Linked DNA regions of Arabidopsis thaliana. The protein of the gene in region 1 purifies or fractionates together with the protein of each later gene. This does not show direct contact. Each region holds a gene or a part of one and is shown in the gene's direction. Other genes may lie near its edges.

Region 1 (18,071 bases):
TGTACAGAGGAAGGGATTTGATTTGTGTCACCATAGGCATAAATAGTGAGCGGACCACAGAAGTTACTTTTCGACAGAACTGATCTAATGCTCTGAGCAACCCCATGAGGGTCACAACCCTTTGGAACCTCGCAGTTCTCAATGTCCCACCAAACTGACGTTTTTGCACCAGCGAAATCCGCCTTCGCTGATTCATCTACGTCCGTTTTTGGTTGATGGGTGTCTTTGGCCGAGATGTGACTGAGTCCAAAGCGGTTAAAGACCAGAGGCTCATCAAGAGGAGCGACTTGATCGGTGTTGCCATGAGTAAAAATGGCATCAAAACTATTGAGAACCTCGCGGTTCTCTGTGTCCAGCAACGCCAATGATTTAGCAGTTGCGTACTCTGCTACTGTAGCCGCCATTTTTAAAAGAAATCAAGTGTTCTCAAACAGAGAAACTGAAATGGGAGGTCAGGGTTTAGAGATTGTGTATGAGGCGTGAGCTTTTGAACTGGAATTAAAAGGGGCAACGAGTTTTAGAAACTAACGGAGACACCCTAAATTAGTGGAGTATATGTTTTCTTGAATTTGAAATGTCCCTCAATTTTCGAAATTTAAAATGTGATCATATAAATTGTAGTATACGTAACGGTTTCGATTCTCAAGATTTTGATTTTGTTTTGAATATTACAAAATAATAAATGTAATTCGTTTTTTAATGGTTACCTCCGTTTACAAGAAATTTTAAAAACTTTGAAACGTTCACAATTAGTTATTGGTAATCTCTGTTTCTACACTTTGATTTTGAAGAAGAACGAGGAGCTTAAATGTAAAAACCTAAACAAGCCATTATCAAAATTTTGATAACTAATTTCATGAAATAGAAAGGAAAGGAGGTCAAAGATGAAATCAAATATATAAGCCATAAGTCGCTGAGAATAAAAAGAGAGGCAATTTGTAAACGAAAACTCATCAAAACAAAAATGAGAGGGAATTCTACTACTGGTTTTCATCAAATGCAACTCATTCCATTACTAAATCTCAAACATAAACCTTAAACTTGGAGTTGACCATCAGTCGCTATGATTTAGACAGCAGCTGCGATCCTTCCAGCGACTTGGTCGAGATCTCTCTGACCACTTGATGTGATCTTCCTTCCACTGGTTACATCAGAACATGTAATCATAAGCTAGCGAAGATGAACAATTGCTTCCATAGGTATATTAGTAAATGACGCAGTAGTACATTCTAAAACCATTTATACACACTTCATCTAGTGAGTTTTAATAGGTCACAATTACAGTTTCAGCAGATTTCTTAAGCGAAAATCGAATCCAAGTGTCTAACTTGTGTTATACAATTTTTATTTTCCTACAATTTCTTTGTACCAGTGTATTAACTTAATTTAGGCCAATGAGAAATCTAAACTAGAGACAATATACTTACCCCTTGGTGTCGAGGTCAACAATGTTCATGGTCTGGAGTTGCTGAAGAATGTGACGAGCAACACCACCACTGCTCTTGCAGAAATGAGGAGGACGGCTTCCGTTCCTCTTGCTTCCTCCATAGATCCTACGGAAGGCACCAACTCCAAGACCACCCCTCAGGTAAACCTTCCTAGCCATGGAAGCTAAATAGAACAGATAAAGACAATGCTAAATCCAATATGTAGAAGATTTGACCAGATGTTATATATACATACCAGCTCTGATGTAGTACCAGTCAGGGTCATATGGAGCAAGCTCCTTAAGTTTACCAGTCTTGACGATGTCTGTCCACAGAGGCAGCTCAATCTACATGGAAGGAACAACATTGGAATCAAAAGCAGAAACCTATCTTCACTGAAATGACACTAGCAAATCACTGTTTAGACTTTATTGAGATTTGTAGTTACGATTCAAAATGCTCTAGAGTAAGGCCAAATTCAAGTTTCAATCAGGCAGTGATCATTGCAGTTTCATGAGGTAATCGTAATCCCAAACATCAATCAAAATACTAGATTAGGGACAAACGATGCGGACCAAAAGCTAAGAATCACGATTCGTTACCTTGCCGGAACGCTTGAGATGGGCAGCGTAAGCCTTGACGAACTCGTGTGGAGAGACATCCTTCACTGTTTTACCTGTCGCCATTGTTGTCGCGCCTTTGATCCTTCTTCTCCTCCTTTGTGCTGCGGCGTCGGCGATACTTGAAGACGGGATTGAGGAATTATGATAAACGATTAGGGCTTTTGAGGAGTGTGTGTGAGCGGATTTTACATAACTACCCTTATTGTTTTAGCCTATGGGCCTATGACATATATTCGGCCCGCTAAACTCTGAACCCTTTGGAAAATATTGTGGTCCCACGTTTCTGAGAAAATTAAAACAAGGATTTTTTTTAAAAAAAAATTTTTTATAGATAAAAAAATAGAACAAAAAATAATATCACAATTTCGTAAATTATTGTTGTTTTTCCGAAAAAAAATTCTTTGTGGAAAATACACGAGTAGTCATATGTTATTCATCATTTTTCTATTTAAAAGTTTACTAAAAATCTGGTGAAAAATGATATACATCTTTTTTGTTACTAAAATTGTTTTTTGTTTATCTAAATGTAAAGATTAGTACCCACATTATTTAATTGTTTTGTCTATCTAAATTCATGTATTTTTAGGGGAATAATAAAACCAGTTACCAAAATTTAATATAGGGTTCAGGAAATTAATAGAAGAAGAATAATGAGATTGATTTACACAAAATATGGTAATTGAGTGGGGCAAAAATAGGATTTGAATTTCGAGTAAGGGGGTCAATTTAATATTTGAACCCAAATTATATACTAAATACCAAATAATTAAGCTATTAAATTTTTTTTTGTAAAAGTCATGGGGTCAAGTGACCCCCCTCCTGAAGCTGTACCTCCGCCACTGCGTATCACAGCTTTTTTTTTCTGAAATCAAAGTTTCGATTTTTCAAAGTAGGGGGAAATAGATTCACTGATCATGAAAAGTCTACTAATATTTCAAATATGGATGATTATTGTACCCCAAAAAATAGAATTCAAAAGACAGAATCAATACAAATTTGCGTAGTACATATAGGGCAATTATTGAACTAGAAATAAAAATACAAATAAGCAAAAGCTGGGATCGATTAAGACCGTACGTTTTCAGTTTCCAATCCATTTGTAAAATAAAGACAGAAAAGTATCCATCTCAAGTTTCTTCAAAGAGATGCCAATCTCGACGCCACCGATACCATCTCTCCTCTTGGACATAGAGAACTCATCGTTCTTGTAGATAGACATTGTCTCAGTGTGAATGGGTCTTCCCCACCCGAAGTCCGTTTCGTACATCCCAATCTGGTTCGACCCGTTTACGACCAACAACTGTGTACCCCATTTCATTGTCTTTGTTCCTTCCTCATACACTTTCCAAGTTGACTCTACCCCTTGTGAAGCCAAACGTTTGACCGAATCACTGAGAATCTCGACGGTGTTGACAAATCCATCTTCTCCCATAAACTCCTTAGCTTTGTATTTATAGAAATCCATGGCTAAGACACAAGTCCCGAAGTATGTCACAGGGACTGGTGGTTCTAACCGGTTCCTAAAATCAGCAGCGTACATGAAACGAACCGGTCGGTTTGGGTCACCACTACGTGCCTTCACCATGCATGTCCACACATGGGCGAACGTGACTACGAACGTTGACAAGTGAAGCTCAGCGCGTGTTGACTCTTTCTTGGCTCTCTCCTTGAGTTTCTCAATGTTTTCAGGACTTATCTCGATGGTGATTCGGAGGACGTTGTCTTTAGCGTTAATCTCTTTGACTGGAGGTAGCTTTAGGGTTCTTCCGTTCTCTTTGTCGTCCTCCGTAAGATACGGCAGAAGTTCGAGCATCTTTTGTTCAAGTCCGGCTGGAACATTGACGACAGAACGATCTAAAACCGTTGGTAGAATTTTCGGTATGGTGCCATGTTTACAAGTGTGAGCCCATGCTTTGTTAAATTTTTCAGCCGTTTTGCCGTCCAAGACGACATGGTGGGCTGTGGTTCCAATGCAGAAGCCTTGTTTCGGGAACAAAGTGACTTGCAGAGATACAACAGCCCCCGAGTCAGAATAAATCGGTAGCTCGGGTATTAGAGGGCGTAACTCTAGCTCTGGACGAAGCCCTCTGCCAGAGATACGTGAGAAATCCGCATCAGTCTCAGCCACTGTGAGAGAGAGTGTGTCTCCTGAGAGAACAACTAAATGCGGCTTTGGATCTTGTGAATCCCACTTAAGGTGACCCGTGAATAGGCGAAAGTGAGTGAGGATGAGTGAAAGAGATCGCTCGAGCTTGGGGAGGATGGAGGAGTAGAAAACGTCGCGAGATGATGATGATTCGGTGAGTTTGTAAAAGAAGACTTGCTCGGTAGGGTTGAGTTTAAGCCACTGTAAATCAAAGAACGAGAGTGGGACAATGAGCGGGTCGACGGAGGCGGTTGCAGGGCTGACTCGGGAGATCTTGATCACCTTTAACGCCATTTCTCACTTGTACTCTCGTCTTTTAGATAATATTCCTTTGTACGTATGAGTTTATTCAGCTGAGTATCAGATGGAGTTAACTCTTATACTAACATAACAAGCTACCGAGTCAGCCCTAGTCAAAAACGTTGGTTGGAAGCCAAGGCACGTAATTACCATTTGAATTATTTTGGTCCCTCCAGAGGCGGCCAGGCGGCTTAAGCCAACTGCGACTGCCAGATATCATAGATAAAAATTGTTATATATATATATATATATATATATATATAAAATATATAATTTTATTTTTGTGGTTTATATTTATTATTTTTGGTGGTAAAAACATTCTTAGAAGATAAATTTTTGTAGATAAAAGGCTGAAAAATAAATTTATGGAAAATATATAAATAAACATTTGTGAGCAAAATGTGTCTACATAAAATTGTAATTTTCTCGAGTTAAAAAAAAGCAAAAAGTGAAATTTCCAAAAGCCTTAAACTAGTTTGAGTAATTTAAAAGTGTCCATAGTTTTTTCTTTTTTCTTTTTATTCCATAATTTCTTGAGTTTTTCAGAAATTACTATAATTCTGTTTAAATTTTCAGGATTTCCTGAATATTCATGATGTTTAGTTGTCACTTAAGTTTTCATAGAACACAAGTCGGTTATGCTTTTACCTAATCTTTGTCTCTTGTTAATTTCTAAAGCAGATAAAATCTATAAACCAACAACAATGTTTTAGAAGAAGACATAACATTTATTTTGGCAACTCAAGTTATTTGATCAAAGAAGTTAATAATTAGTTTTTAAAATAAATTAAATATAAAAAAATAGGGGCCAAAAGAATCAGTTAAAAGGATGTTGTATCATTCATATACATAGGGGCCAAGGCAAACACAAGCTCACTATCACAAAGAAACTGGTATCCATAACCCAAAATTTGTGGGCCAAAAATATTGAATTCCAATCTCAAAAAAGCCCATAAAATCCCATCTTTTTTCCCTCTCTAGTCGTCGTTACACGTAAAAAAAATGATTTTTAATAATCCGGTAATGCGTTAAAAAAGATATATCGATGAAAATTTCCTTTTCTTTGTAAGTTGTAACAATTGTTTTTAATAATAATAATTCTGATGCCATAAAATCGCGAGGTAGAGATGAAAAAAAAATAGCTTCTTCAACAAAGGCCGATAACAGTGAACCCTTCGTCGGAGCTCAGATCACGAGCCGCCGTCACCAGCTAAGAGGCAGTGACTTTTGAGTAAGTGAGGCGAAGATGGTTAAAGGAGAAAAGAGATCCGAGATGATGCTTAATCTGTTCGGAGATAATTCCGAGGAAGAAGAGATCGAATCCGAACATGAATGCAATCGTCGTCAGCCTAACTACGCTTCCGTAACTCTCTCCATCTTTATCTCCTTCGTTTCGTCACTATTGATTGTTTCAGTTTTCGTATTTTTCACTGCCACTGTTCTTCAATTACACCTTGGAATACGAATGGTTTCTGGAGTTCTTCTCGCTTGAATTTAGGGTTTTAGGTTAATTGCAGGAACCAATGCAACTTATTAGGCCTAATTCAGCTTCAGTTCTTCTTAATATCAACTAGACTAAGATATCAGTGAAATTGTGGCTGAAATTTCCAATGTAAACACTGATAGGATGAGGCTGAGGGCGGGGTGGAGCCTGAAGGAGAAGGTGAAGCTGAGGTTGAAGTTCACGGAGAAGCTGAAGCTGAGTCTGACGGGGAACAGGGAGATGTAGAACTTGATCCTGGAGAAAGTGAGGGTGAGAGGGAGCAAAGTTCACAGGAGGCTGATCCACAAGAGGAAAGTGAAGCAAGAGATAGTGATAGTGATAACAAAGAAGAAGAACATGGGGGTAGAGTAGCCAAAAAGAGGAGACAGGAGGTTGTTGAGAGCGGATCAGAGAGGTCTGGTGAAAAGCATTATGAGTCTGAAGATGAAGAGGTTGATCAGACTAGGAGTCCAAGGTACCCCTTTTTCCATTCTTTTTTTTCCTAGCTGTTTCATAGCTTCTTTTTGATCTTTTCTGTGCTCTGGATTTAATAATACTTGCTAGTCCTCTGAGGTTCCTTGGATTTTCAAATTTCTTATGGATCACTTTGTCTTTTGTACATGGAAATATGGCGTGGTGGGTAGATCACCTAGTGAGGAGAAGGAAGAGGTTCAAGTTGCACAGTCAGACGTAAATATTCGTAATGTTTTCGGATCTTCGGATGATGAAGACGCAGAAGAATATGTTCGGAATGACGTTGAGCAGGATGAACATGTGAGTCTTGCATCTAATATTACATTTCAGTTTACAGAATATCTGTTTCCTTTCCAGTGTTTGCTTCCTTTTAGAAACCATATGAAATTGCATGTATGTATGATGAGATGTCTAATTTTGTAGAGATCGCCAATCGAAGATGAAGAGGGCTCTGAGAAGGATCTGAGACCCGATGATATGGTGCTTGATGATATAATCCCTGAAGAAGATCCTCAATACGAGTCAGAAGCTGAACATGTTGAAGCTAGGTACAGGGAGAGGCCAGTTGGTCCCCCTTTGGAAGTGGAGGTTCCTTTCCGCCCTCCTCCAGGTGACCCCGTTAAGGTATACCTGCTTTATGTTGCTAAAAGATTATTCGCTGACATGGCTTCAAATCAATAGTTTCCTTTCTGGTATTTCCAAGTTACCAAAATCTCTCATATCATTGTGGTTCGAAGAGTGAGTATCTGATGTCTTTTATGTGGAGAACCATTGCACTGAAACATGCTTCTACATTTACTTAGCATGAAGGGCCATTTGGTGTACATGAGCGTGCTATTCTGTTTTATATCTGAAACCCCATTTTCTAGTTGTCTATCTGTAGTGAAGATGTTCTGTAGCAAAATTGCGCTTCCTCATATACCGTTTTCTCTTTGATCTTTTTCAGATGAACATGATAAAAGTTTCCAATATCATGGGGATTGATCCAAAGCCTTTTGATGCCAAAACATTCGTTGAAGAAGACACATTCATGACAGATGAACCCGGAGCAAAGAATCGTATCCGTTTGGACAATAATATTGTTCGCCATAGGTTTGTTAAGAGTCGAGATGGCAAAACATATGTAAGTGAACACTTCTTCAAAGCTTTTCTGCTTTTAAATTTTCCATCAAACCTGCAATGAAGCTATGTAGTTTGCCTATTACTAGTACTTCTGATGCAATGATGTATTATAAGTACATACTTTTGATGCAATTTATGTATTCCGAATTAGTTTACTTTGTGCTTTTCACTACGGACATGTGTTCATATAGTTGGAGATGAAATTTTATGATATCTCTGTTCAACAGTTCTTCTTATTCTTTAGGCTTCATTAGAAATCTGCCCATAAACAAGAATTCTTGGTTTTGTTGCTTATTGCACACATTTCTTCTACTTTTTCCGTTACTTTTGCTGTAGTAAACTCAAGTCACTCTATATTCGTATGCAGAGTGAAAGTAATGCTCGGTTTGTAAGGTGGTCAGATGGAAGCTTACAGCTATTGATAGGAAACGAAGTTCTTAACATAACTGAACAAGATGCAAAAGAAGACCAGAATCACCTCTTTATCAAACATGAAAAGGTGTTACTTCGTCATTCCTTCTGCCTTAGTTAGCGATCAATTTGTAGTTGCTCCAGCCTCCTAGATACACTGATTCATTTTAGAGCACCCATACGATTCTCTATACTAAATGACAAAACTTCTCATTAGGAAACCAAATGTCTCCTGCATTCCAACTCTGCTATATCTCAAAGTGTTGTCTTATTTGGATGTTGGTGTAGGGTATCCTTCAATCACAAGGAAGAATTTTGAAGAAAATGAGATTTACCCCATCATCGCTGACGTCAAATTCCCATAGGCTCTTGACTGCCATTGTTGAATCGAGGCAGAAGAAGGCCTTCAAAGTTAAGAACTGTGTCACTGACATTGACCCTGAGAGGGAGAAGGAGAAGAGAGAAAAGGTTACCTCTTAATTGAGCTCAGACAATCCAACAATAGTTTTATTGCAGTGTTTGTAGACTTTTCTCATTTAATATCTCAAATTCTGAAGGCGGAAAGCCAAAACCTCAAGGCTAGTACAAAGCTGAGTCAGGCGAGGGAGAAAATCAAGCGCAAGTATCCACTTCCTGTTGAAAGGAGACAACTTTCCACTGGCTACTTGGAAGATGCTCTTGATGAGGTCTGTTTGATTAGTTTGTGTATATTGGGTTCTTCCATTTTCTAAAGCAAAGATTGCACTAGTAACGACTGATTGTTTCTTGGAACCAGGATGACGAGGATTACCGCTCAAACCGTGGCTATGAGGAAGATCTCGAAGCTGAAGCGCAACGGGAACGCCGGATTCTAAACGCCAAGAAGGTAAACAAAACAAAAACTCATATATCTCGGAATGCAAAAAAAGCATTAGAAATTGAACTAATATTCAACTGCTTCTCACTGGGGTAAAACCAGAGCCACAAAGGCATTCCGGGGAGGTCTTCAATGACTTCGGCCAGACCGTCAAGACGTCAAATGGAGTATTCTGAGAGTGAGAGAGAGGAATCAGAATATGAGACGGAAGAAGAAGAGGAAGAAAAGTCACCGGCCCGTGGAAGGGGCAAGGATTCAGAAGATGAATATGAGGAAGATGCAGAAGAAGATGAAGAGGAACGAGGAAAATCTAACAGATACTCAGATGAAGATGAAGAAGAGGAAGAGGTTGCGGTACGCAAATTAGAATGTTCTTCCATTTTTATTGTTGTCAATGAGGAAGTTCATTGAGATTGTAATGTGTGGTGAAATGTGGTTTATGCAGGGAGGTAGGGCAGAGAAGGATCACCGTGGAAGTGGCCGGAAAAGGAAAGGGATTGAGTCTGACGAGGAGGAGTCTCCGCCTAGAAAAGCTCCGACTCATCGTCGTAAGGCCGTGATTGATGACAGTGACGAAGATTAATCATGTTCGTCAAATCTTTCACTCTCCTTTCGTCCATTTGTTATAATGTAGTCTGGAATTAGACTCGTTTTAATCAAAATAAAGACAGAATCATGATTTTTTTAAATTCATGTAATAATGGATTTTATTTCCCTTCTGTAACTGTAATGAATAATTGGTAATTTGATATGGAGATAGTTCAAAATAACGTAAACTTGTTGACCCAAACAAATTTACCAAACAGACTGTCACAGAGTAAACACATTTAGTTTTAATCTCTTGATTAATTTATTATGTAGTCATGTAGCCCAATTTTTTTGTAACACTGTTCTACATAACGTTATGTAAAATTAACACATTTACCTTAAGCTCTTCATTATTTTTCTTATGTATCTCAAAAGATCTGTAACACTGTTTTATTACAAAACGTAAGGTAAAATTTGGTTTTACATTAAGAAGACGACAAAAAAAAACCAGAATTTTAAGAAAATTTTGACAATATATAAAACAAATTCCAAAAAAATATGGGGTTACTACAATCCATCATCTAATGGCTCATCCGCGTCGTGCAAGTTGTTCAATGGAGTGTTCTTGTTCAAACCCCAAATAACAATCCGAAACTAAGATGAGTTTCGTATCCTGGCCAAAAAAAAAAAAACCAATTCAGCAATAATAATATATACATAGAAGTGTAAGAAAGAATGATTTAGTTTGAGAAAATAAGTTGAAAATTGTTTGTACCTGAAAAGAGGTTATATTGGGAGGTAACTCCATGCGTGTGATCAGACGACCAGTGAACGAAACTCTCTTCACAGCAAAGAGCTCAGAAGTTGAAGTATCACCAAGAACCAACCACCACGCTTCGTCTTTCACCTATAACACAAAATAAACGTGTTGAATTCAATTTCATTTTTGTTTCGAGCTCAAACTAATCTGTGGTTAAGTCTTTAAGTGAAACCTTTGGGAATCGAGGGGCCAATGCCCTCGAGCTATTCCTCTTTGATGTCTTTTCCAATCTGATTTCCAGCGTTGAAGGCTTTTTCTTGCCATCGGAATCCTTCTTTTGGAGTCTCACATTCATTTGGATCCGTGGGAATCGTTGGAGATCCTAATTAAGATCGAAGAGTGCAGCAGAGAATAGTTGAGACTCCATGAGTGAAAGTATTAAATGCAAAAGAAATAGTTGTGACCAATTTGAGAGCACCTGAGATAATCTTGATGCAGGGAAGTTTTCGGTTACACTTTGTAGAGTTTCCCTTGGAAGATTTAATAGCTGATGTAGCGTGTGAATCCCTCTTGCGGTCAGAGATCCTAGAAGAAGGTCATTCATGCATGGGATCATCCATAATGACGAATCTTGATCAGACCACATGCCCTAGAATTAAAAAGAGAATTGGATTCCTCTTAATTTGCAAAAGTGAAATAATTTGAACAAGCTAAGAGTAGTAATCTTCAGGACACTACCTGCATGACCATTTGCAAAAGGCGCATACACGTCAGTGAGCTTGAGAGCCATCCACTGTTTGCGCAGATATCAATCATGGCCTGGAGGATCCGAATGCTTTGATCCAGTACTGACTTTAAATCCGTGTTATAATCACTGATTGGAAGTGCCAATTGAGAAAAATGTGCCTGGAGCAATGGATGTCATGCATTAAGAAGATGGTAACAATCATGAATTATATGATTAAGGCCCTGTTTGTTTCATCATTTATCATTTCCATTCAAATGATCCACTTACATGATTCATTTGAATGATACATTTGAATGATGTTTGTTTCGTTATTTGTAATTTAATATAAATGATGCATTTAAATGGATCTTTATTTGTTTGATCATTTTGTAGTTCATTCACATTTTCATTTAGATAAAAATAACTAAAATACCCATGTTTTCATTTTAACAAATGACAAATATTCAACATTATTACCCACTATCAATACCAAACATATTGGCGGGAAAATATGATTTTACGGTTTTGGCGGAAAAATACGATTTTACGGTTTTGGCGGGAAAATATGATTTTGCGGGAAAAATGATTTTGCAATTTTAGCAGGAAAACATGATTTTGCAGTTTTGGCGGAAAAACATAATATTGTCATTTTGGCAAGAAAATATAATTTAGTGGTTTCAGCGTAAATATAGTTTTATGATTTTAGGTGGAATAGCGATTTCTATAATTTTACATCAAAAATTATGATTTTGCGATTTTTGGCCAAAAAACGCAATTCCACGATTTTACGATTTTGACATAAAAGAATAATACGTGATTTCATGATTTTTTGAGAAATCTATAGAAAATAAAATTATTTAAATTATGACTATAAATGAGGGTATATTAGTTTTTTGTTATTTTTGGATGAAACATCTCCATCCAAATGGTTTAATCAAATTCATCCAAATGAGTTTCATAAATTTGCCTAAATTTAGATACTCATTCAGATGTATCATCCAGATGATCCATCCAAATGCTTGTTAAATTGTCAAAAACAAACATCATTTTTCATCTCCATTTGGATGGATCATGTGGATGGACAAACAAACAGGGCCTAAGTCATGAACTCACACAGTTTGGATTTTTGTTTCATTCTTCAGTGCATGATAGTGTGAAGAAGTACATACCTGGAAGAGCAGATTCGCTTTCACATGAGGATCATCTAGATGGTTATTATCCACGGGATACCGAACTCTATCTGACAGTGTTTTATTGTAATTTTCCTAAGGGACACAGATTTTTTTTTTTTTTGACACCATATCACTAAAGATACTTTTAAAAATGAACCATATATTCGTCAAGTAAAACAGTATAGACCAGACCTCATTGTGCCGCACAGGAAGTTCATCATACTCAGAAGCACCAGCCAAGATATGCAAAAATGCCTAAAGGGCAGTGGTTAGAAACCAAAGAAAAACAAAAAGAATAATCAATATAAACTGGATCAGCTTCTTACTTCAAGCGATGTGTCAGGACCTATATTAGAGCCAAACATAGACACGGTCATGTAGCAAAGGTAATACTGTGACGCTATTGTACCCAGCATCGTAGGCTCCACACTATCTTCATTTACTTTGAGGCAACCACTGTCTTCAAGATCCTCAAATGTGGTTTGCACCAATCTACACAAAAAGCAGCCCGCATACACCAATATTACAATGGTTCTAGTTAGAGAAATCTTCTTTATTTAATAACTTTGATATTTACCTTGATAAGTAGGAACAGATTGTTTCGTCTTGAGTACCTTCTAGCCCATAGTAAGCAGGATTAGCCATCTGTTACATCAAATACCAGATTGAGTCATGAACTGGTTATTCTGCAGTAATGGAAAAATCTGAAAGGAAAAAGAGAATCTGGCTGCAGGGAACTGATCATGCTTTTAGCACAATTTTTCAAGGAACCAGAATCACGTTCTCAAGTAGTATCTCGCTTTTTAATAAAACTGAAGCATATTTACCAGTCTACGAAACAAATACGTCCATGTAAGATAATGCACTGCATCTTCTTTGTTGCCTATTGTTCCAGAGACGATTTCCGCATTGAAGTGATCGTGCAGCTTCTCTTTCAAACTACTTTCTACGGGGAATGGTTCGTACAAGAACTGCATGCAGAGGAAGTATGATCTTTTTGAGGTAAATTGTTGCAACGGATACCAAAAATTGCCAAATAATTCCAACTGAGCTTGACCTTTTTGTAAAAGCTTTTTTTAGGTTCATGTACAAGAATAACCGCTTTCCCATGTTGGTCAAACTGTGGTCGCCCTGCACGTCCCATCATTTGCAAGATCTCTGTAAGAGGGAAGTCAACATATCTTTTGGTTTTCCCGTCGAAATATTCTGTTCCCTGATAGGAAACATTGCCAAAAACAACGGTATTAAAGAGAAAAGACAAATCATTAGAGGAGAAAATCCAAGAAAGTGATCCCAAACATAATAATAGAAGAGGACCTTCTTTTACCTTTATAATAACTAAGTGAGCTGGTAGGTTCACTCCCCATGCCAAGGTACTTGTTGAGACCAAAACCTGTAATGGAAGCATGGATTCCATCATCAATCGTAATGTAAAAGTGTAACCATGGATACGGTAAAGGCAGCAGAGAGAATATGTTGAGGAAATTGCCTGAATCTTGTTGTTCGTGAAAAGCTCTTCGACTGCAGATCTATCGTGGTCGTTTAAACCTGCATGATGCAGTCCGATGCCGAATTGCAACGTATGTCGAAGGTTTTGATCAGTTATCTGTGAGAGGACCATCTGCAAGTCTTCCTCTGACACACTCAGAAATTGCCGCGGATGTTCGTCGGAGGCAGCAAACTTCATTTCATAGGAAAAGAAGATACAAAGGATGATACAAATTAGAGTTATATAGTTAAAAGATGATTCGGTATCGGTGTTTGATGATAAATCATGCCTGAATAAGATCCAATGCAGTAAGCCTTGTCTGCCTACGGGATGAAACAAAGATAAGAACAGGTTTCGTAGGTGAATGAGTACATATGGCTGCATATGCTGGCTTGTTCATGCTATTCATCCTTGGGCAGTAATACTTTCCAGGATAACCCTGAAAACAATAAACAAGGTTAAGTCTGGAAATTTCATACTTGTATGGTTTCCTTGAATACCTTTAATCCACCCACCGAAAATGGAAATTAAATAGCGTAGTCAAGTACAGTGTAGGAGACATACATAAATTTTTTGTTTAAGAAAGGTATTAATTGTTTGCAAACTAGAGAAAAGATATTGACTTACCTGAATATGAACTTCAATTGGTACAGGCCTGACGCTTGGTTTAAAATTGAAAAGTCCGATCTCCCCAACACCCAACCAGTCAGCCAAATCACTGAAAAGGGAGACTTGAGAGAATAAGTAAAACTGGCTACCAGAAAAATTGGGAGTAAGGTATATCTTAAGCCATCTTCCACATTAACATTTTCTAGTAAATAAGACTAAAGTTGAAAGTCTTTCACTCACAAATCACACTATAAGCACAATGTCATCAGCACAGAAAAGACACGAATAACAGTCTACCAGCTCGAACATTCAGTTGCGTGTTTAATGATAATACATAGAAAAGAGCATATTCAAAGAGTCTGAGAAGTTAAAATACGAACCCTGCATTTGCCAGAGCTGTAGAAAGCCCAACAAACCGGACGGAGCGCTCTGTCTGTGATGATATATATCTCATCCTAGATACAATAACCTGGAAACCAAATGTAGATCAAAAATAAATCTGGTGGAACACATAACTTTGAAAAAACCTGAGCCGAAAAGATATAAGCTCTTCACCAAGACCATAGATACATTGCATGTGTCATGATATAACTGGAAACTTCTAACCAATAGATGGAGCTTAGCGTAAGTACTTAGAAAATGGGATATAATAGTTATTAAGCTTCTACCTCAAGAATCGGTCCTCTGTCGGCTCCAAGCAAGTGAATCTCATCCAAAATAACAAGGCCGACCTATATCCCCAGAACATCATAAGTTACTGTTCACAAAAAAGGCAATCTATTGACAAAAATTTACCTTTTTGACATAACTTCGAGTATGCCAATTACGACTAATGCCATCCCATTTTTCAGGGGTAGATATGATGATGTCCGCGGACAAGAGAGCTACTAAATCTGGAGTGTAATCTCCAGTCATTTCAACCTGTTGAAATGCAAGTGTTAGGAATAATATTTGGTAGCCAAATAAACAGCAATCATGGATTATGAGTCTGCAACATGTATAGATGCTCCGAGGCAATATCCTCTTACCATTTCTTTTCCAAGTGGAGCAACAAGATGCTTTTTCCAATCATTCATCCTTTCTCGAACAATAGCCTTCAGTGGTGCTATGTAAACAACCTGCAAGCCACAAAAATTTAGGCATCTTCAGTAAGATAAAATAGAACACTAGAAACTAAACTAAGCCGTGATTTGATATCATTTTAGAGATTCATTTCTTCATTTCAATAGGTAGATTCAGTAAAAGGCTGGCAATTTAGCTGAAACATAATCATGTATAATAAACTGAAACATTAGTCGAAGTCTCGAACTAAATAATTACCAAGCGTTAGGAGAGTGAAAACTCATACCTTCATATCAGGCTGGGTACTGAAGAGACGCAACATTGCAAGTTCAGCAGATATAGTTTTCCCACTTCCAGTTGGAGCTCCTACAAGAACATTGTTGTCTGTGTGATATAACACATGAAAAATCTGCAACACCAAACCATACAATTTTCAGTTAACTAAAAAAGGAGTGATGAAGAAAAACATTTTTAATATAAAATTAGGAGAGTAACAGGGTAAATATGCTCAAACCTGAGTCTGTATTGGATTGAAATGTGAAAATTTGTAAAGCGATTCATACAACTTATTCCCAAGAGAAGTCACAGGAAGAGGTTTTAAGTCTAAAAGCTCTGTGTGAGACGTCCGCGCCTGAATGAAGAAGACTGTTAGGACCTACCTTACCGATAATTTAAGCGTAGAAATGATCTTGTAACTATTTCGGAAATAGCAACCTCTAGAAGATATATACCTCTGGTAGTGCAAGATTGTGAAAAGAGATTGTGAAGTAAGTCTCTGCATGCAACCAAGAATCAGAAACCGCATGAACATAGTATTGTGGTGGGTGTGGTTCAAATATCGGTACGGTAAAAGAAAGCTTCTGTGGTTCCCCTCTAGCCATCCGCTTCGTTAGTGTGAAAAGATCTGAGTGATAGATATAATCATTCTCTGTGTCCTGTCGAAGAAATAGCACAAGACAAGCGTTATATCAACACTGCCAAAAGAGTTAGCATTATTGAAGAAGAAATCATTAGTTAACTAGTATCTAGCACAGAGTATTGACTCTTCCTAGTGTTTAGTAGTGCTATAACATGAGATACTATATCGTTACAAACAGCTCATTCTTTGTCACTGTGACATATGTGTCTTAATGGGAGTTAGATAGTAGTACCTCAATGAGAATCCACCAACGAAGAGCAGTACCATGAAAACGATCCTTCCATATGAAATTTGGAGTTATAAGCAAATCCACCTAAAAATGGTAACAAATTAGATGTTGATAGATAGTTTGTCGTCTGAAAGCTTATAAATTATTGAAGAATCTCTCCATTAGCTACCTTCAATACAGTGCGGGTGATTGGACTAACAGTAGCTGCCAACTGAATTGAAGGAAAATATCCTAGATGCTGCTTGACCAACTAGAAATTCCAGTGCAAGCAAAAAACCAAAAAACATTAGTGCTTTTTTCCATATATACATGCAGTAACTTAGTGAACTTAAGATTTATATACCCTTCCCCCAGGATTATAACGAATCAGCGCTCCAATTTCCTTTTCCTCCATCTCATACAAATGGTCTAAGTCATCCCTTCGCTCTTCAAGTTTTCTTAATATCTGATCAATTGAGATGAATTAGAGAAAATATTACATATTACAAGTAAAAATAGTATTCAGAAGCTTACATCAGAAGGCAGATCCCTTTCGAATTGCCGAAGAGGATGCTGATGAGGCCATAGTTGACGATCAACTGCCTTGCAGTATTCCAACATAAATAAAGTCATCTCACACCAGCCTTTTCGCAAGCATATTTCAAACAGAGCACGCATTATACGTGCTAAACTAGCACTAATGTATGAAGCATCAGAGACCAGAGAAAATGCATCAATTGATCCACGGGATATGTACAACTGTAGATCATAAAGCCACTATATCAGAACTCGATATCAACCAGCCGTTTCATCGCATAGGTATAATATTGAAATGACAGTGAAAGTCAGTCACCTGAATAAGAATCGAAATTTTTCCATGTTTGTTAGAAGGGCCTCCCTTAACTTCTAAGGGACAGCAAGAGCGTGCAAGAGTCTCAAGTTCATGCTGCTCTTCCTCTCTTACCACAATATTTTCAAATTCAGAAGAATGGGCAACCATATTAATTATCTACACCAGAAAATTTGAAATCAGTAAGTAATGATTAAACTTTAGTTACACAGCAAAGAAACAAGAAAATATCAGAAAAACAGAATGATTATTGAAAACCTCGCTTTCATTCATGTGCCGCTTCAACATTTCGTTGTATGTTTCAACACTAGAATATTGAATATAGAAGTGACTTGCAACCCGTCCAAGCTCGGTACAGTAAAAGTTTCCACTTTTCTCATCGAACCTCATCATCTTAGCTTTGTCCAGTGAACGGGCAGCATCAGCAACAAGGGCTCGTTGCTTCAAGGATAAAGAAGGATCGGCAATTATCTGTGATGAGTAACAAGGTCAGAATAGTTTTAGGTACATATATAAATCAGTATTATAATATGATTCAAAACCACTATGGCATAAACAAAATCACAAAGATCTCCATGTACACTACTAGAGCTTAAAAAACATAAATGCAAAGAATAACGCACCTCTTCCCATCCAATGCCATAAGCCAAAGGATTTAACTTCATCCGAATTGACAAATATGTATATCCAAGCCAAGCACAGGCTTCCTTTACATTAGTTACAGTTCCCAAAACCACTTCTGCGTTTAAGTTATCTTTCAAGGAGCTTATGAACTGCAAATAAGAATTACAATGGGACTTTACTGTATGGCCAAAGAAATTTGACAGATCAAACTACAAAAGCAGGTTTCTGCATCAAGATGACAGACCCAAGCCCTTTTAGGTTTCTGCCCAATACCTGACTTT
Region 2 (15,675 bases), on another chromosome or scaffold:
CACCCACCATTTTTGAGCTTGCCATTTATTAAACATCTCACGACTACAAGAAGTAACAATTTAAAAACATTACCATCTAGCTTCGAATCACCAAAACATCTTTTAGCTTAGCCACAAAGGGAAACAGGTCTAACGTGTAACACAAAAAAACTCAGCATCCGCAGAATACAAAAAAATCCCCAAGAGCTAGAGATACCAATTCTGGGGCCAAAATACCCATCCTTGACGGCACCACAACAGAAGCTGGTCTCGGTAATATGGAAACCTGGTGCTTCTTAATTTCAGCAATAGCATGAAAACCATTGCCAACGAAAGACTTGTTAAAGCTCAGGGTCATCTAGACTTCAATTGAATCAGAAACAATACAAGTGTTCTCAGTACAGTAGTCCCACAAATAATATCATCAACAATTGTACTACTCATGAGTGTTAAAAGAAGAAGAAAAAGAACCACTATTTCCAAATTCAGAACCTAACATGCCGTAACAAGACAGTAAAAGCAGATCAATGGGAAAACACAAAACATATATTCAGTTCAATATTGGCAAGAAACGATTACCTGAACCGAATTCTCTTAAGATCATTCCCTCCCTGAGGCAATGACACAAATGTGATGAGAACACCAGGCTCCACTTGAGCAACCCATTCCTTGACCTCATCATCCTCCATGAACACTATGGATTCTGTTCGACCACTCATAGACGTAGGTGTACCTTCTTCACTAGAAATCCCTTTTAACCTTGACTCCATTTCATTCCCCCAAATCTTAGGAGTTGAGGTTGCAGTCCCAGCTCTCTGGTATGAATAATGGAATCTTCCAGAATCTGAAGCAGCATCCGAATCAGCATAGTTTCGATTCTGATTCCGGTTTGTTGTCCCAGAACACGGTTTGCAGTTTTTGTATGCCCCTGAAGCCTTTACTGCCATGTCTTTTAGCTGAAATGAACAATAATTAGTTACTTACATACAAAAGACGCATGCTTTGACAAAAATTACAGATAAAAGAGTAACTGACAATTCATAGGAATAAATGTTTGAAGAATTATTCAAACTCAACCAAGAAAAGAAATATTGATTCAAGACTCAGAGTCAAGTCTCTACCAAACCATATGAGTCATGCTTTAACATGTTTTTTTTTGTTCTTAGCTCCCAAACAGAAACCAACAACGAAACTAGAATGGTCCCGCCATTTTCACTTGCAACCAAAACAATCCATGAAAGTGACTCAGCAGAAAGATTAATCTACCTGTGACGTCAGTGATTTAATCGCTTGCTTAGTCCTAGGGGTACCAATAACTCCGTGTTCTTCATCTTCTTCTCGAGTAGATCCGCCATTGTTGGTGTTAAGCTGCTTCGTGCAAGCTATACACGTCAGCATCTCTCACCTTCTCTTTTGACACTACTCGAACCCTATGAGATCAAACCAGAAACCCAAATCACATTTCAAGCAAAACCCAGAAGATCAAATCTAGAAATGAAGATACTTTAATACCCAAAAATCACAATTCTTGCACTGTGCAGATACAAAGAGGCAAAAAAGACGTACACTTGGAAGAGCTCCGAGATCACAGAAACGCAGCGATGAAGAGCTCAAATTGAAATGGGGTTAAATATGACCGTTACGCCAGAGACATAAATTAGGGTACACAGATCTGTATAGATCAAACCCATAAATTCGCATTTAACTCTGTCTCTGTCAGTCTCTCTCTCTCTCTTGCTGCTTCAAGCGACACAGAGAATGAGTGGGAGATAATGTCTGTATAAAGACAGAATCGATCTTTCTCTCGCTGTCTCTCTCTGTAGGAGAAGAAATACAAAGCTGAAGAAGAAGAATCTGCGGATTTGGGAAAAAAGTAATAAAAAGGCTTTGAGATTTGTTGGGCTTTTGAGTTCGTTGGACACTGCAAAAAGCTTTAAGAGTGTGGTCTACTGTGTTTCTTATTGATCCTCTGTGCCACTTGTCACTTTCGTTTTCTACTTTTGGGAAAATAATTTCTTCACAAGTCTGATTATTATATACAGTAACGCCAAACACATTAGTCATCTCTAATCTCTATGCTTAACTTTATGGTAACAAGTAAGAATATGTGATCAAAGTGGTGAAATGATTGCTCTAAAGTCTAAAGTCTAAACGAAGAACTATACTAATAGAGCGTGCAACTAAGCCTTAGCATTTTAATTTCTAAAAGCTTTGATTACTATAATACAAATTTTATAGACTTGCTCCCCACCTTTTTCTCTCTTCCTTGAAAGTTTAAGCCTTTTGATTAATTATGAGTTTAAGTACACCTTCCACATCATCAAGCAATGCATATCATGCCCTCTCAAAAAGTTAATCTTGTAGGGGTGGGCATTTGGGTACGCGAGTCAGTTTTTGGTAAAACCCGATCGGGTAAGTGTAGGTATAAATTTTTAGACATTTTTTAGAACTGATACCTGAATTTTTTGGATAAATACCCAGATTTCCCTGATCTTTGGATAAAATTTAGATAAAATTTAGTTATTTTCGGGTTCTAGTTGAGCTCGAATTTTTGGGTAGAAGAAGTTTAGGACCCAATAAGATAGATCTAAATTTTCAGGTTTGGTTTCGAATCCAATTTTTTGGGTCGGTTCCGTGTTGTTTTTTAAACCCTAATCTAGAGTTTTTTTTTTGTTTAATATGAAAACTTAGTACTTAACTTTCTCTACTTGTATTATAGACTTGTAAGAAGTTAATAACTATAAAATTCAATTGACAATGTTTGAGATATAATCTCTTTGGATATATCTCAATTGACAAATAATTTGAGATAATTCTAATAATGTTTGAGATATAATCTCTTTGGATATACTATATCTGAAGAAGTAGTTATTGAGATAAATATAGCTAATTAACTTTTGAATAACTACTTCTTCAGATATAATCTAATAATGTTTGAGATATAAACGTGTGAGATATAATCTCTTGTGAAGAAGTAGTTATTGAGATAAATATATCAACAAAGGTGTTAAGCCCAAACAAGTTAAAACGGATCAAAACAAAAGGCCCAAAAACTTAATGATACGCTCATCCGTAGGTGATCACACCCTCGTAAATACACAACACAACGATCTGTCCTTAAATTCCCTCAATTCATTGAAAAGTTTGCAACAACGAAAAAAAAATCAAATCAAAATCTCAACTCTAGAGATTTATTGTTGACCCGTTTACCGCGATTCTCTCCTCAATTCGCCGGTAAACCCCTAACTCTGTCGGAAAACCCTAATTCGCCGCGACGGAAATTACCAATACTCGTTTCCTCGTAGCATTGGATTTTTAAAGCTGTTGATTCCAGCTTTGTTGAGGTAAATATTATCTTCCCAGATATCTATCTTCTGATTCTGATTTTATTGAGGTAAATATTATTAATTTGATTCAAATTTTGAGAAGTTGGTGATTCAGTTGGTTGATTTAGGGTTTCATTTGGGTACTCTGTCTAGGCCAAATTCGTTTTGTATTGAAAATTTTATTCTTTGGATTGCAAAAAGTTGTCTTGTTTATTATTATTTGGTAAATTTGAATTTTTGTGGTTTGTCATGTTATTTGTTCTTTAGAGCTGTGATTATGATTTGTTATTTGATTTGATGTATGAAGCCTGCGCAAGTTTGTGTCTTTCGTAACATTGAATCACGTTCAATGTAACATATTTCATTGCAAAATAGTTATGGGATTCAAATCCTTGGTTAGTGGATAGAACACCAATCTTCTAATTTTACGTTTTGTTGTATGCCTATTGTGCTGGAAAATGGCTAGCAATATACATCTTATTGGCAGTTTTTGGTTGTTCTTCCCATGGCTCATAATCAGAGTTACTTTATGGTTTCAGTTCTATAGTTCATTGATAATTCATAGCATACTTTTTTCCCTCGGAATGTGCAGAACATTCAGGTTACTTCTCTGTATAGGGTTTAGTTGACGAACCCCTAGTAATATGGAATTGACTGTGACATTCTATCTAAAAAATATAACTTTTACATCGCATTAAGAAATCTAAAAGAAGTTTTGATGCCAGCAAGAATGCGAATTGGAGGGCCAGTTTGCATATTAGGCTCATCGTACCGTGAGACGGTTATCTTTATCATCTTATTGAATAACCCGTTTATTGATATTTTCGTTTTCTTCAGGTTAAAGCAACTATGAAGCCTGTTCTTCACTCGGGTTCTTCATCCAATGGATTTTCACACAGGAGATTTGAAAAGGAGGCATGGATGAATAACGCACAGCCTTCTGTTGACAATACAGGTTTTGTATATATATTTCGAGACATATACATATATACCTTTACTCTGATGTAGCACCAACATCATGTTCTGCGTTCTCTTGTTTGTTGATACATATGTGCAGAAAACGGTTGGGACGCTGAAAGTGTGGATACCCCTTCTCAGAAGCTGTTAGTGTATTTCACAACTTGTAATATTGGACATCAGGTAGAAGTTCATCTCAAAAATGGATCTGTTTACAGCGGCATATTTCATGCTGCTAATGTGGAGAAGGATTTTGGTAAGGCTCTGAATGAGAACCTGTTTGTTCCTTTGAGATGGTATATAATATAAGAAGAGGTCACATTTTTTTTATCCCTTACAAACTGCTATGAAACTTTCAGGAATCATTTTGAAAATGGCATGCTTGATTAGGGATTCACGAGGAACCAAATCCCGTACTGTCAGCAAGCCATCTTCAAAGCTACTCAAAATCCCTGCTGACGAACTTGTGCAAGTTATAGCTAAGGTATGTACTCCTTTCTTGCAGATGGGATTGGGTTTTATGTTCACATGAATGCAACAACATAAGACTACTTGGTGTTTTGACATTATTATTCTTTCGTCATTGGTCTATTTGTTAGGACCTTCCTCTATCCAGCGATAGCGTCTCAGATTCTGTTCAGTGCGAGAAACCTTTAGAGCTGTTGACAGACTCTCTGATATCACAGTTTTATAATGTTGATTTGGAAAGAGAGCTGAAACCTTGGGTACCTGATGAAGATGTTCCAGACTGTTCAGATCTGGAGAATGTGTTTGATGATCCTTGGAAGAGGTAATGATGCTATTCATTAAAGTAGGATATTTACCTTTTTGTTAGGATTTCTGTTTTCTGATATAGAAACTGTTTTCTCTATTTCATTTTCCTCTGTGTTTACTTTTGTGAACTAAGTTAGAAAGTGCTTTGGAGGTTGTATCGGGTTAGGCTGAGGGAGACAACATCGTTTTCTCGATTTCTATTCTTGGTACTATGATTCTTTTTTTAATAAAAAGAGTTTTGTATTTTATTCATGTTCTTGATTCTTAACTCTAACAAGTAGCCATAGATTTATTTATCCCAGTTCAATTCCTCCCATTGGTTGGTTAGGTTGTGTAAGCGGGCTACACCGCCTTGCAGTTGGTTGGACCAATATGGGGTTTTGGTGGGTTTTGCGAGTAGGCCTGTCGTTTATAAAATTTTCATTTTTCTTTACTTTAAGTTTAATTTTTATACAGAATCAAATAGAAATATAGTATATAATACATGTAATTTTCAAAATAAATATCATTTTACTTAGTAAATTGAATATAAAAAAGCTTTTTACATATATTGAAAATTACATGCGGGTTAGTGTGAGACCTCTGTCCGCAGTTAGTTAACCCTGTTCTCTTTTCTTATTCTTTCATCATGTACACTTCCTGGGTTAACGACACTTCTCATGACATCTTATATGTGTGTGATGATATCGTAGGGGCTGGAATCAGTTTGAGGTCAATAAGACATTATTTGGAGTAACAAGCACTTTTGATGAGGAACTGTATACCACAAAACTTGAGAGAGGTCCTGGAACGAGGGAGCTAGAAGAGCAAGCCTTAAGGATTGCGAGAGAGATTGTGGGTGAGAATACCCGAGATATTCACGTAGCAGAGGTGAATTATGGATGTCTTATGTGACACTGAATTTTTACGTTTTATTGTTGTACCATATTTCACCTCTAATGGTCATGCGTGCAATCATCTTACACAGGAAAGAGGGCTCCAGCTTAGTGGAAAGTTTGATATTGATGAGGAAACCAAATACTCATCGGTCTGTGCGACTAATAGATTTGATGATACGTGTTATGAAGACGATGAAGAAGAAGAAGAAGATATATTATTGGATTGCTGCAACAATTTGACTTTTGGTGATTCTTCTGCTTCTGATGGCAAGGAACCTGCTTCAACTGGCAAATTCTATGAAGATTCATGGGTATGGTTGAGTTCTTCACTCCTAGTAGTTTCTAGGAGAATCATAGGTGATATTGCCATTTTTTGTCCTTCAGGGTGACAGCCTGCATTTACGGAGTAACAAAATGGTAGATCAGAGCTGGTCGAACTCAAATAAGCATACTCGCCAGCTTATGTCCGAACTGCCATCCAAAGATTTTCCTGTTGCAGGAAACAACATCAGGTCTTTTTCCCTTTGAACATACAAAATATCTTTCATTGAACTAGTTTCTGAAACTCATTCTGATAGGAATGAGAGCCAGCTTGGTGAGCAAAGAAAGAGCAAATTCCTAGGGGCTTCCCTTTTTAAAAAGGTATAAAGTTAAACGACGCACCTTGTGTTGATTTGGCATTTGCTTAATGGAACATTACATATAACACTGTTCTGTTGGCTTCAATCTGTATTAACGCAGCCATCTGAGGAATCAGTGTCTGGTTTTGAAGGTATGTGCAACTTCAGCTTATCGAATCTATCTACTCCCGTTTCATCTTATATGTTGATACCAATTGAATTTCCTACTAAGTTTTTAATTGCCACCTCAATGAAGATGCACCACCACCTGTGAAGCCAAGTTTCATTGATGGAAGACTCGGTCTACTCTCTGACAGAGCAAAGTCTGAGAACTCTTCTGGGTGGCCTGGAAGCTCCATTTCTAGAAATTCAGAAAACTCTGCAGCTTCCTCAGCATCAAATCTTCCAATACTGTCACCAAGCTCTTCGGGTTCTTTATCATCAGAAAAATCCACACTCAACCCAAATGCTAAGGTTTTTTTCTTAGTGCTTAGGTTATCATCTAATATCTCCTTAATACTATAAGCTTTTTACTAACGAAATTAGGTCCGACCAGGAATTTAAACTGAACCCTAACGCAAAGAGTTTCAAACCATCTCCATCAGCAACACGTCCTCAATCTCCTCAATCTCCAGTCTTTGACGGATCATTCTATTATCCTCCTGTTCCACCCATGCCAGGACTACATATTCGATACGGAGTAACTTTTCTTTATTCTTTATCTAGTGATCAACGCCTAAATTACTCTTTAAGTCTCTGTTATTATGTTTCTGATTCACTAAGTTGAAAATTGACAGACGGGAGCAGCATTCCCTGGGCAACAACACCCAATGATGTATAACAATACAACACAGCTTAGTCCGAATCAAACATATTATTCTCCAAATAGTCCACAGGTTTGTTTATTGCTATTAATAGTCATTACTCTTGAAAACTCTTTACCTTCTCTCTATTGTAAGACTGAATTTTGGAATCAATGTTAAAACAGTACCCACAACCGATGATGGTTACTCAGCAGAGACCAATCTTGTTCATGCCGCCAACGCCATACCAACCGGTTTACTACTTTACTTCAAAATTCTTGTTTTGTCTAGTTACAAAAAAAAAATGATCAACAGAGTTAGATTTTGCTGACATCTTTGATTTTATTGCAGGAGATGCCATACAAAGGAAGAGACTCTTATTAGCTTTTGGCCAAAACCATGAATGGTGGTGGCACAAGAGAAGGTCTCGAGCTGATGGAATTGGTTTCATTTAATGTACTTTATTTTTATTTATTTCCAAAGCACCGAATCTTTTCATTTTTATTCTAAAATGAACACAATTGATGTGATGGTGATTTAGTTTGTTTAGGTATTAGACTAGATTTTACATTAGATTCGTGCTGATCTCATTTCTTTATTCACTTCTGTTGTGTCTCCCTATTCAAACTTTAACGTTAAATCTTTTAGTTGTATGACATATTCTGTGTGGAGTTTGTTTTATTTATATAAAAACAGTTAGGTAGGAAAAAAAACTTTTTCATTTGTGAAAAGGAAAATCAACGATTGTAGTTCAATCTTACATATACGTGTTAAGACATGGTAGGGAAAAAGTGGAGTGCGTCTATGATTGGATTTGAAAGCGTAATGTTTAAAATTTGGAACTATTAGATTAATAATGGGTTTAGTCTTGTCTTGTCCTAAAATGCATATAAATCTTATTGCGGTGTGTTAAGGATCGAGGTTAGGGGAGATTCGAAAATATTAACTTTGTCGTGTTTGAAAATATTAGTTTAAGTAAGTCTATAAACATAAACATAGGTAAATCAAATAATTGATTTCTAAGAACTTCTAGATACTGTTGATATATAATAATAATATTTGAAGTAACACCTGTAACTTCCCTCGTTCGAAGCATGATAGTTACGCATTTCTTTTCTCTAAAGCAAATAAGTAAAAGGTACGTGTAGCAAACAACAATTAATCTTCCCCACAATACAAAGTCTCGTATTACTTCAATTATTACTAGTTAAACAAAGTGTCATTGTAGTGAACTACAAATAGGTGTCCAAGAAATAGAAATGTTGCTATATACTATATTCTTTCTTTTGGAGTGTATTTATAGTGTTTTTTTGTCTTCCTTATAATTACTATTCAGAGTTGTGGATTAAATGCAGAGAGATAGTGCAGAAATTACGATTCATTGCTGCTTTGTGTTGGGGAAGCTGCATCAAGAAATGTGAAAAAGGGCTCTTTCGCTTTGCTTTGCTTTGCTTGACTTGCAATAATATCAATTACCCCAACTACAAATATAAAATATTTTTAATTTATTCGCTTAAATGCTACTATATTGATTGCGCTATAAAGAGATGTTGACAACCTTCCACTTAAACTTTTGCTTTTTAAATTAAAAAAACACCTTCTTAAACAAAAACAAAAACAAAAAGACAGAAAAAAAAAGTACGCTTAGATAATACATAATTACATATCTTCAACTATATAAACAATGTTTTAGAATTCTGCACATTTTTGTTATGAAACAATTAAGGAATATGATACTTCAGATACCCTCTATATATTATTTAGAATCTTTGAACCTTGTAATATATATGCTGAATAGAATCGCATATAAATTGATAAAACATCACTGATATGAACATAAAAATAAAGGTGTTAAACATCTTTGAAATAAATGGAAATATTTACCATAAACATTTTTACTTTGGTTTTTCTTGTCTTCTATTTTCCTTCCTAACATTTTAATACTATCATTTATATATTTAGATATATTTCTAGCCTTGTCTAGATTATACACGCGTCACACTTCTAAATTTATATCTATCTTTTACTAGATTTTTCTATTATTTATTGTTGCCTACATATTTCTATTTTGTTTTGTAATAAAACTAAACCTGATTTGAAAATTATAAAAGCACTACGTGACACGATTTGATTCGATATACTTAATTTTTGAAACATAAACAATATAAACAAAGATAAGAAAAAATACCACAAATAGAAATGTCAAACTCTGCAAATAAATTCAGAAATGGAAACAAAATAATATTTTAAAATATTTAATAAATTGTGTGTGAATAAATATGCATTTGTTGAGAGAAGAAAACCATAATTAAAAAAAAAAAAAGAGAAAAGGAGTCAAGATTAGTCTTTTAAGCCATAGCCAATACCCAATTTGCAGAGACAGAGGAAGAGAGAGAAAGATAGTGAAGAGAAAGAAACAACCATGTTCTGAGGAAGGAGACATGCATCATCATCATCATTCATCATCATCATCATCATCATAATCTCAAGCTTATTACTTAACTTCTTTTTCTCTCCATCTCTTCTTACCAAATCCAAAGCACCAAAGGTCTCTCTCTCTCTCTCTCTCTTCTTGTTCGCTTAATTTATTTGGTAGTGATGTTATGATTTGGTTGCTCAGTTTCTACTTATGATGATATAATTAAAAATAATAATTTTTGAGTTATGAGAGAAAAAAATCTTTTGGTTGGTTTCTCTGTTTTCTTGGATCATTAAGTTCAATGAGATTTGATGAGTTTTTTTATCTGTTCAAACTCAGAAATTTAATCTGTCGATTTTAGTTTTTGTTTGCATGTTGTGTAAGTTCTAGCCATGTTCAAAGTTTGAATCTTTTGGAACCCTTTAGATCATGAAACAATCTTACTGTGTCATTGAACCTGGAATCTGTGTTTTAGGATTGCTTTTATAATCTTTTGGTATCATTTCTCTCTTGTATTTGTTGATTATGTGGATCATGAATAATATCATATGATTTATGACTGGACTTGTTGGTTTGGACATTTAGTTTATTGAAGTAAAGATTTGAAGACAATGCAAGTGTTTCAAAGGAAAGAAGATTCATCTTGGGGAAACTCAATGCCTACAACAAATTCAAATATTCAAGGATCTGAATCTTTCAGCTTGACTAAGGATATGATAATGTCTACAACACAATTACCCGCGATGAAACATTCGGGTTTGCAGCTGCAAAATCAAGATTCAACCTCATCACAATCTACTGAAGAAGAATCAGGCGGCGGTGAAGTTGCAAGCTTTGGAGAATATAAGCGTTATGGATGCAGCATTGTTAATAACAATCTCTCAGGTTACATCGAAAACTTGGGAAAGCCTATTGAAAATTATACTAAGTCAATTACTACCTCGTCGATGGTGTCTCAAGACTCTGTGTTTCCTGCTCCTACTTCTGGTCAAATATCTTGGTCTCTTCAATGTGCTGAAACGTCACATTTCAATGGTTTCTTGGCTCCTGAATATGCATCAACACCAACGGTAATATGCTGTGAAGCCTTTTGTGCTTTTACTATTCTGAATCGATCTGGCGCATTGATTGGTTGATTGGGAAATCTTTTTGCAGGCGCTGCCACATTTAGAGATGATGGGTTTGGTTTCTTCAAGAGTGCCATTGCCTCATCACATTCAAGAGAATGAACCAATATTTGTCAATGCGAAACAGTATCATGCGATTCTCCGTCGCAGGAAGCACCGTGCTAAACTCGAAGCTCAGAACAAACTCATCAAATGCCGTAAAGTATGACTGTTTTCACTTTCCATTTTGCCTAAAACACCAAAGAGAAAGAGGGAAAACTAACTCAGAAGATCTTGATGATTTGATGTAATAAAGTTTTGTTTTCTTTTTCTGTAGCCGTACCTTCATGAGTCTCGCCATCTTCATGCTTTAAAGAGAGCTAGAGGCTCCGGTGGACGTTTCCTCAATACAAAGAAGCTTCAAGAATCATCAAACTCACTGTGTTCTTCTCAAATGGCAAATGGACAAAATTTCTCTATGAGCCCTCACGGTGGTGGAAGCGGAATCGGGTCTAGTTCGATCTCACCGAGCTCCAATTCAAACTGTATCAACATGTTCCAAAACCCGCAGTTCAGATTCTCAGGTTATCCGTCAACACACCATGCCTCAGCTCTCATGTCAGGGACTTGAGGCACATGAGAAGACCTTGCTCCGAGAGAACTCAGGCTAAACTCCGGAGACTGGTGATGATACATGACGGGAAGTCATCCTTGGCTACTTATGTTATCGGTTACAAAATTTCTTCCTTTTAAAAACTTTGCTTTCATATCCTCTACAATCTCTCACTCTATATTGAGTGACTTGACGAACTTTCAAATCATTGTCAAACTATTTTGTTAACTTCCGATTCTCTGAGAGTACAAATTGCATTACCCTATTACATACAATGAGAGAAGATTCAGGGTCACTAAGAGTAATATACACGCATAGATCCCCTAATGCTCTGAAGACAAACTGGACACTTAGGGTTTAACTCTCGTTCCACGGTTGAAGCACATCGCCTGCAACATACTACATGTCCACAGGGAATAAACGCAGGTACTCTCCTTCTTGACACGCAGATCACACACAATTCTCCATCTGGGATTTCATCTGCATCTTCGGGTTCATCATCGACCACAGAATCGTTCGGTCTCTGTGGCAGTTCTCTCTGATGGTTCCATTGTTTCCATTTATTCCAGGTCCTGAAGATAAGACAGTTAAACAGATTTCAAATCGAAACATTGCCCAAATCTAAAACCAAATCTGATCTCTCACAACTCCAGTACCTGACAGCAGCATAGCTAAGGATGCCAACAGACACAATGCCCAAGATAACGCTGCCCAAGAATATAAAGTTGGTCTGTTCCATAAGGTCCTCAATCATCTTGTCCTTGGTCATCTCTGATCTGCAAAGATTATTCATAAAGATTTATATATGAACAGCAAATAGAGCCTTTCTGCAACAATGGACTAAATCTTGTCAAATGATCAACAGATTGAGAAAACATAAAGAAGAAGATGAAGTAATAATTTGAGCTAGAACGCAGGCAGATATATAAGAACGAAAAATATTCAGATAAAATCTCACAAGAAATAAGGAAGATCTTGGCACGATTTGATTTCAGGAACTCCATTATTAAAACTGTAGATGCCAACAGCTGTTATATCTTTCCCAGGTGGTAAAATCTTCTCTATATCAAGCAGACCAACCTTGGAAGAGAAAGGATTACAAAGTTAGCCAAGAACAAGTAACCATCAGTTCCTCAAAACCAGAAATTTCTTTGAATATATATATACTCACAGGATAATCGGGGTACAAAAAGGCTTGAAGAAACGAAGAATTAATAGGCTGCAAGCGATTATACACAGTGGTAAGCGGAAGAGGTTGCCTTGAGCCATCCATGTTAACAGCGACAAAACTAGAGTTCGATTGCTGATCCTTTCCAACAATGACAAATGGGACCTGCACAAAGCAAAGGATACACAAAACAAGTTTGATCATGGATACAGAGCCAAAGTTGAAAGCTCTGAAGCTGATAGAGAGACTTTACCGTTCTCGTAAAATCAGCACCGTGTTTGCGCAATGATCTCTCCAACATAAACCGGTGACCAGTGGACTGAAACAATCTCTTCCATCCACTATACACATACTGTCAACAACAAAATGATGACATTAGAAACATACATTTCCCTTCTGAGATCACACCAGTACCAACTTACATAATCCTAACTTAATCAATCACAATGAACACCTAATCATGAAGAAATCATCCAAACTCTTTAACCTAAGCCTTTGATAAGAACACAAAGCAAAATTAGGTCAATGTCAATTGCAATTTGAGGGAAACATAAACACTTAGGGTTTAGAGCAACGTACAGTTTGCGTTCTCTGAATGATAAGAGCTTTATCTCCAGTCTCCGGAGAGATTAACACGTTGTTGTTCTTGTAACCCTCATCACCGGAAATTTTCGGTTTGACGACTCCGCGAACCACAACGATTCGCTGATCATTGCTCTTCCTGTTATCGTTAGTCTCTGATTTGTCTTCAGAAGCCGGAAGCAGTGATCGGAGGTCGGAAATGGAGACTTCGGGTGCATCTTTGATCTTCTTCAACGCGGCGTTGGTAGAAGCATACTTGAGAGCAGAACCGACGGCGCTAACAGCTAAAGTCAGTCCGAGGATTGCGCCGTCGAAGGAGAGAGCGATGTCCGTCAATAGATTCAAGAGAGCACGCTCCGGCGAGGACATTGTGGTAATTTCGATTTCAACGTCGTAGACACGGTCACACGGACAAGTAAACGGAAGAGAAATGAGGCTATTATCGGTATTTAATATTATACATTCGACCGTCGTTCTAATTTGGGTCTTTAATGGGCCTATGCACGAGTGAAATACAAAATACTAGTAATAAATAGCGTTTTAGTTAAATTACATTTACACCCTCAACGTTACAGCAGATTTACAAACCAAAACCATAAATATCAGATCTAGAGTGGCAGAGATTAGTATTTCCCGATTCCTCGCCGCCGTTCATCAATCTCTCCGTCGTGTTTCTGCCACTAGCTCTCCACCAAACTTTCTCTCTCGCATTAGGTATTTATCGCCTCTTTATGGCATATAATCTTGTGTTTTGGAACTTATTGATGAAGCTAGGTTAGAATCTCCTTTGTCTTTCTTATCTCCGATTCGTGAAGCTCTAATTCTTATTTATTCGATTTATGTAATGTGTTGCTGTTACACGATGTTTGCTTGTGAGATTCGATTGAAACTTGTGTTGTTGCAACATCAATTCTGTATAAGAAAGGTTCTTAATTTGACTCTGTAGCTTTACTTTTTTTTTAGTTGTTTAGGGATAAACATGGCAGGAGAAGGTGAAGAAGATGTACCTAGAGATGCTAAGATTGTGAAATCTCTGCTTAAGTCGATGGGTGTAGAAGACTACGAGCCTCGTGTGATACATCAGTTTCTGGAGTTATGGTACCGGTATGTGGTCGAAGTGTTGACAGATGCTCAGGTTTACTCAGAGCATGCTAGCAAACCCAACATTGACTGTGATGATGTGAAGCTCGCTATTCAATCCAAAGTTAATTTCAGCTTCTCACAGCCTCCTCCAAGAGAGGTATGCATTGTTGACGATTCCATGTTTCTTCTTCTTCATTGTCTGAGAAGAGATGCGATATGATCGGTCATTTGGTATATGTGAATCATTAGGGAATTATCACTCTTACTTATGACTTATGAACTGTGTGTGACCCTCTTGCCTCATAAATTGTATCACTGAGAACCTCAAGTTTTTGTCTGTCACATCCATGCCTTTTGGTTCCTGAATCTTGAAGTTTCTGTTTTTGATGTTTGATTTAGGTTCTGCTTGAGCTTGCTGCAAGTAGGAACAAGATACCTCTGCCAAAATCGATAGCAGGACCCGGTGTTCCACTCCCACCTGAACAGGACACATTGCTGAGCCCAAATTATCAGCTCGTGATACCGAAGAAGTCGGTTTCAACAGAACCTGAAGAAACCGAGGACGATGAAGAAATGACAGATCCTGGACAGTCCTCTCAAGAACAACAACAGCAGCAACAACAAACCTCAGACCTTCCAAGCCAAACTCCTCAAAGGGTCTCTTTCCCACTCTCTAGACGACCCAAATAAGTACCCAAATAAGTAGATAGACCAAAAAATCTATAATATTTATGTATCAACAAGTAGAAATGTAACACAATCAAAAATTAATGACCAGAGCCAGTTTTTATGGACCAGATCCAGATGTGTGGTTTGAAGATTTAGAATGTAAGAGAATCAAATATTAATGACCAGAGTCAGTTTTTTAGAACATATAGGCATATCTTATATACACTGTTGTGTGGGAATCAACAATACCGAAGGTACAACAAATCTTCTGAAGCATTATACTATATATGCAACTATAGTATATATACATGAACAAAGGTAATTAAGAGAATCAGTTAGCTTCCCCAGCCAACCATGGTACCAGTAGCTGCACGGTGAGGCCGTGAAAACGCAAGCCCTCGATCATACATCCGCTGAATTTCCTCTCTGTATTCAGTCAGAGACTTGTCAGGTATGGCTGGAGTCAGCTCCACCACATCTCCCATCTTCAGCTTGCATTTCAGATCACTTACAGGTGTCTGGTTAAGTCTTGGCCTTAGCTCTTCCTTTGCCGGGATGCTGTACATTGACCATCTCGAGCTCCCTGGTCCTGCTCTGCGTAACAGGTCCGACACGGTAGAATTCTCGGGAAACTCTTGCACAGTCATCTGCATTTTCGGGTTTATCAAATTATAACTCCAAGCAAAGAAACATCCTCA

The links.
Region 2: the proteins of VIP4 (region 1) and TAFII21 fractionate together in Arabidopsis thaliana (co-fractionation; one large-scale study listed by BioGRID). This does not show direct contact.

What each region holds. Positions count from the first base shown.
Region 1 is NC_003076.8:24,595,200-24,613,270, reverse strand, and holds VIP4 (leo1-like family protein), read left to right. Parts: upstream 1-5,545; 5' UTR 5,546-5,742; coding exon 5,743-5,859; intron 5,860-6,122; coding exon 6,123-6,454; intron 6,455-6,623; coding exon 6,624-6,753; intron 6,754-6,876; coding exon 6,877-7,077; intron 7,078-7,399; coding exon 7,400-7,576; intron 7,577-7,942; coding exon 7,943-8,074; intron 8,075-8,274; coding exon 8,275-8,454; intron 8,455-8,543; coding exon 8,544-8,672; intron 8,673-8,761; coding exon 8,762-8,851; intron 8,852-8,944; coding exon 8,945-9,196; intron 9,197-9,287; coding exon 9,288-9,425; 3' UTR 9,426-9,637; downstream 9,638-18,071. Other genes in the region: AT5G61180 (Putative endonuclease or glycosyl hydrolase), read right to left, coding at 1-404; AT5G61170 (Ribosomal protein S19e family protein), read right to left, coding at 1,069-1,141, 1,428-1,611, 1,684-1,774, 2,030-2,113; AACT1 (anthocyanin 5-aromatic acyltransferase 1), read right to left, coding at 3,132-4,490; AT5G61140 (U5 small nuclear ribonucleoprotein helicase), read right to left, coding at 9,960-10,043, 10,146-10,277, 10,363-10,512, 10,609-10,779, 10,869-11,036, 12,027-12,122, 12,222-12,284, 12,356-12,521 and 22 more. UniProt on the Arabidopsis thaliana protein: Component of the PAF1 complex (PAF1C) which is involved in histone modifications such as methylation on histone H3 'Lys-4' (H3K4me3). Involved in regulation of flowering time. Required for the expression of the flowering repressor and MADS box gene FLC.
Region 2 is NC_003070.9:20,213,399-20,229,073, reverse strand, and holds TAFII21 (TATA binding protein associated factor 21kDa subunit), read left to right. Parts: upstream 1-13,808; 5' UTR 13,809-13,939; intron 13,940-14,188; 5' UTR 14,189-14,204; coding exon 14,205-14,465; intron 14,466-14,707; coding exon 14,708-14,998; 3' UTR 14,999-15,175; downstream 15,176-15,675. Other genes in the region: BRX-LIKE3 (BREVIS RADIX-like 3), read right to left, coding at 1-43, 197-274, 559-935, 1,246-1,377; CID3 (CTC-interacting domain 3), read left to right, coding at 4,155-4,260, 4,363-4,518, 4,622-4,746, 4,862-5,052, 5,729-5,906, 6,004-6,225, 6,299-6,426, 6,493-6,556 and 6 more; NF-YA5 (nuclear factor Y, subunit A5), read left to right, coding at 10,368-10,826, 10,912-11,085, 11,200-11,493; SPL2 (E3 Ubiquitin ligase family protein), read right to left, coding at 11,771-12,047, 12,132-12,251, 12,434-12,555, 12,647-12,808, 12,897-12,995, 13,223-13,594; RSH3 (RELA/SPOT homolog 3), read right to left, coding at 15,313-15,624.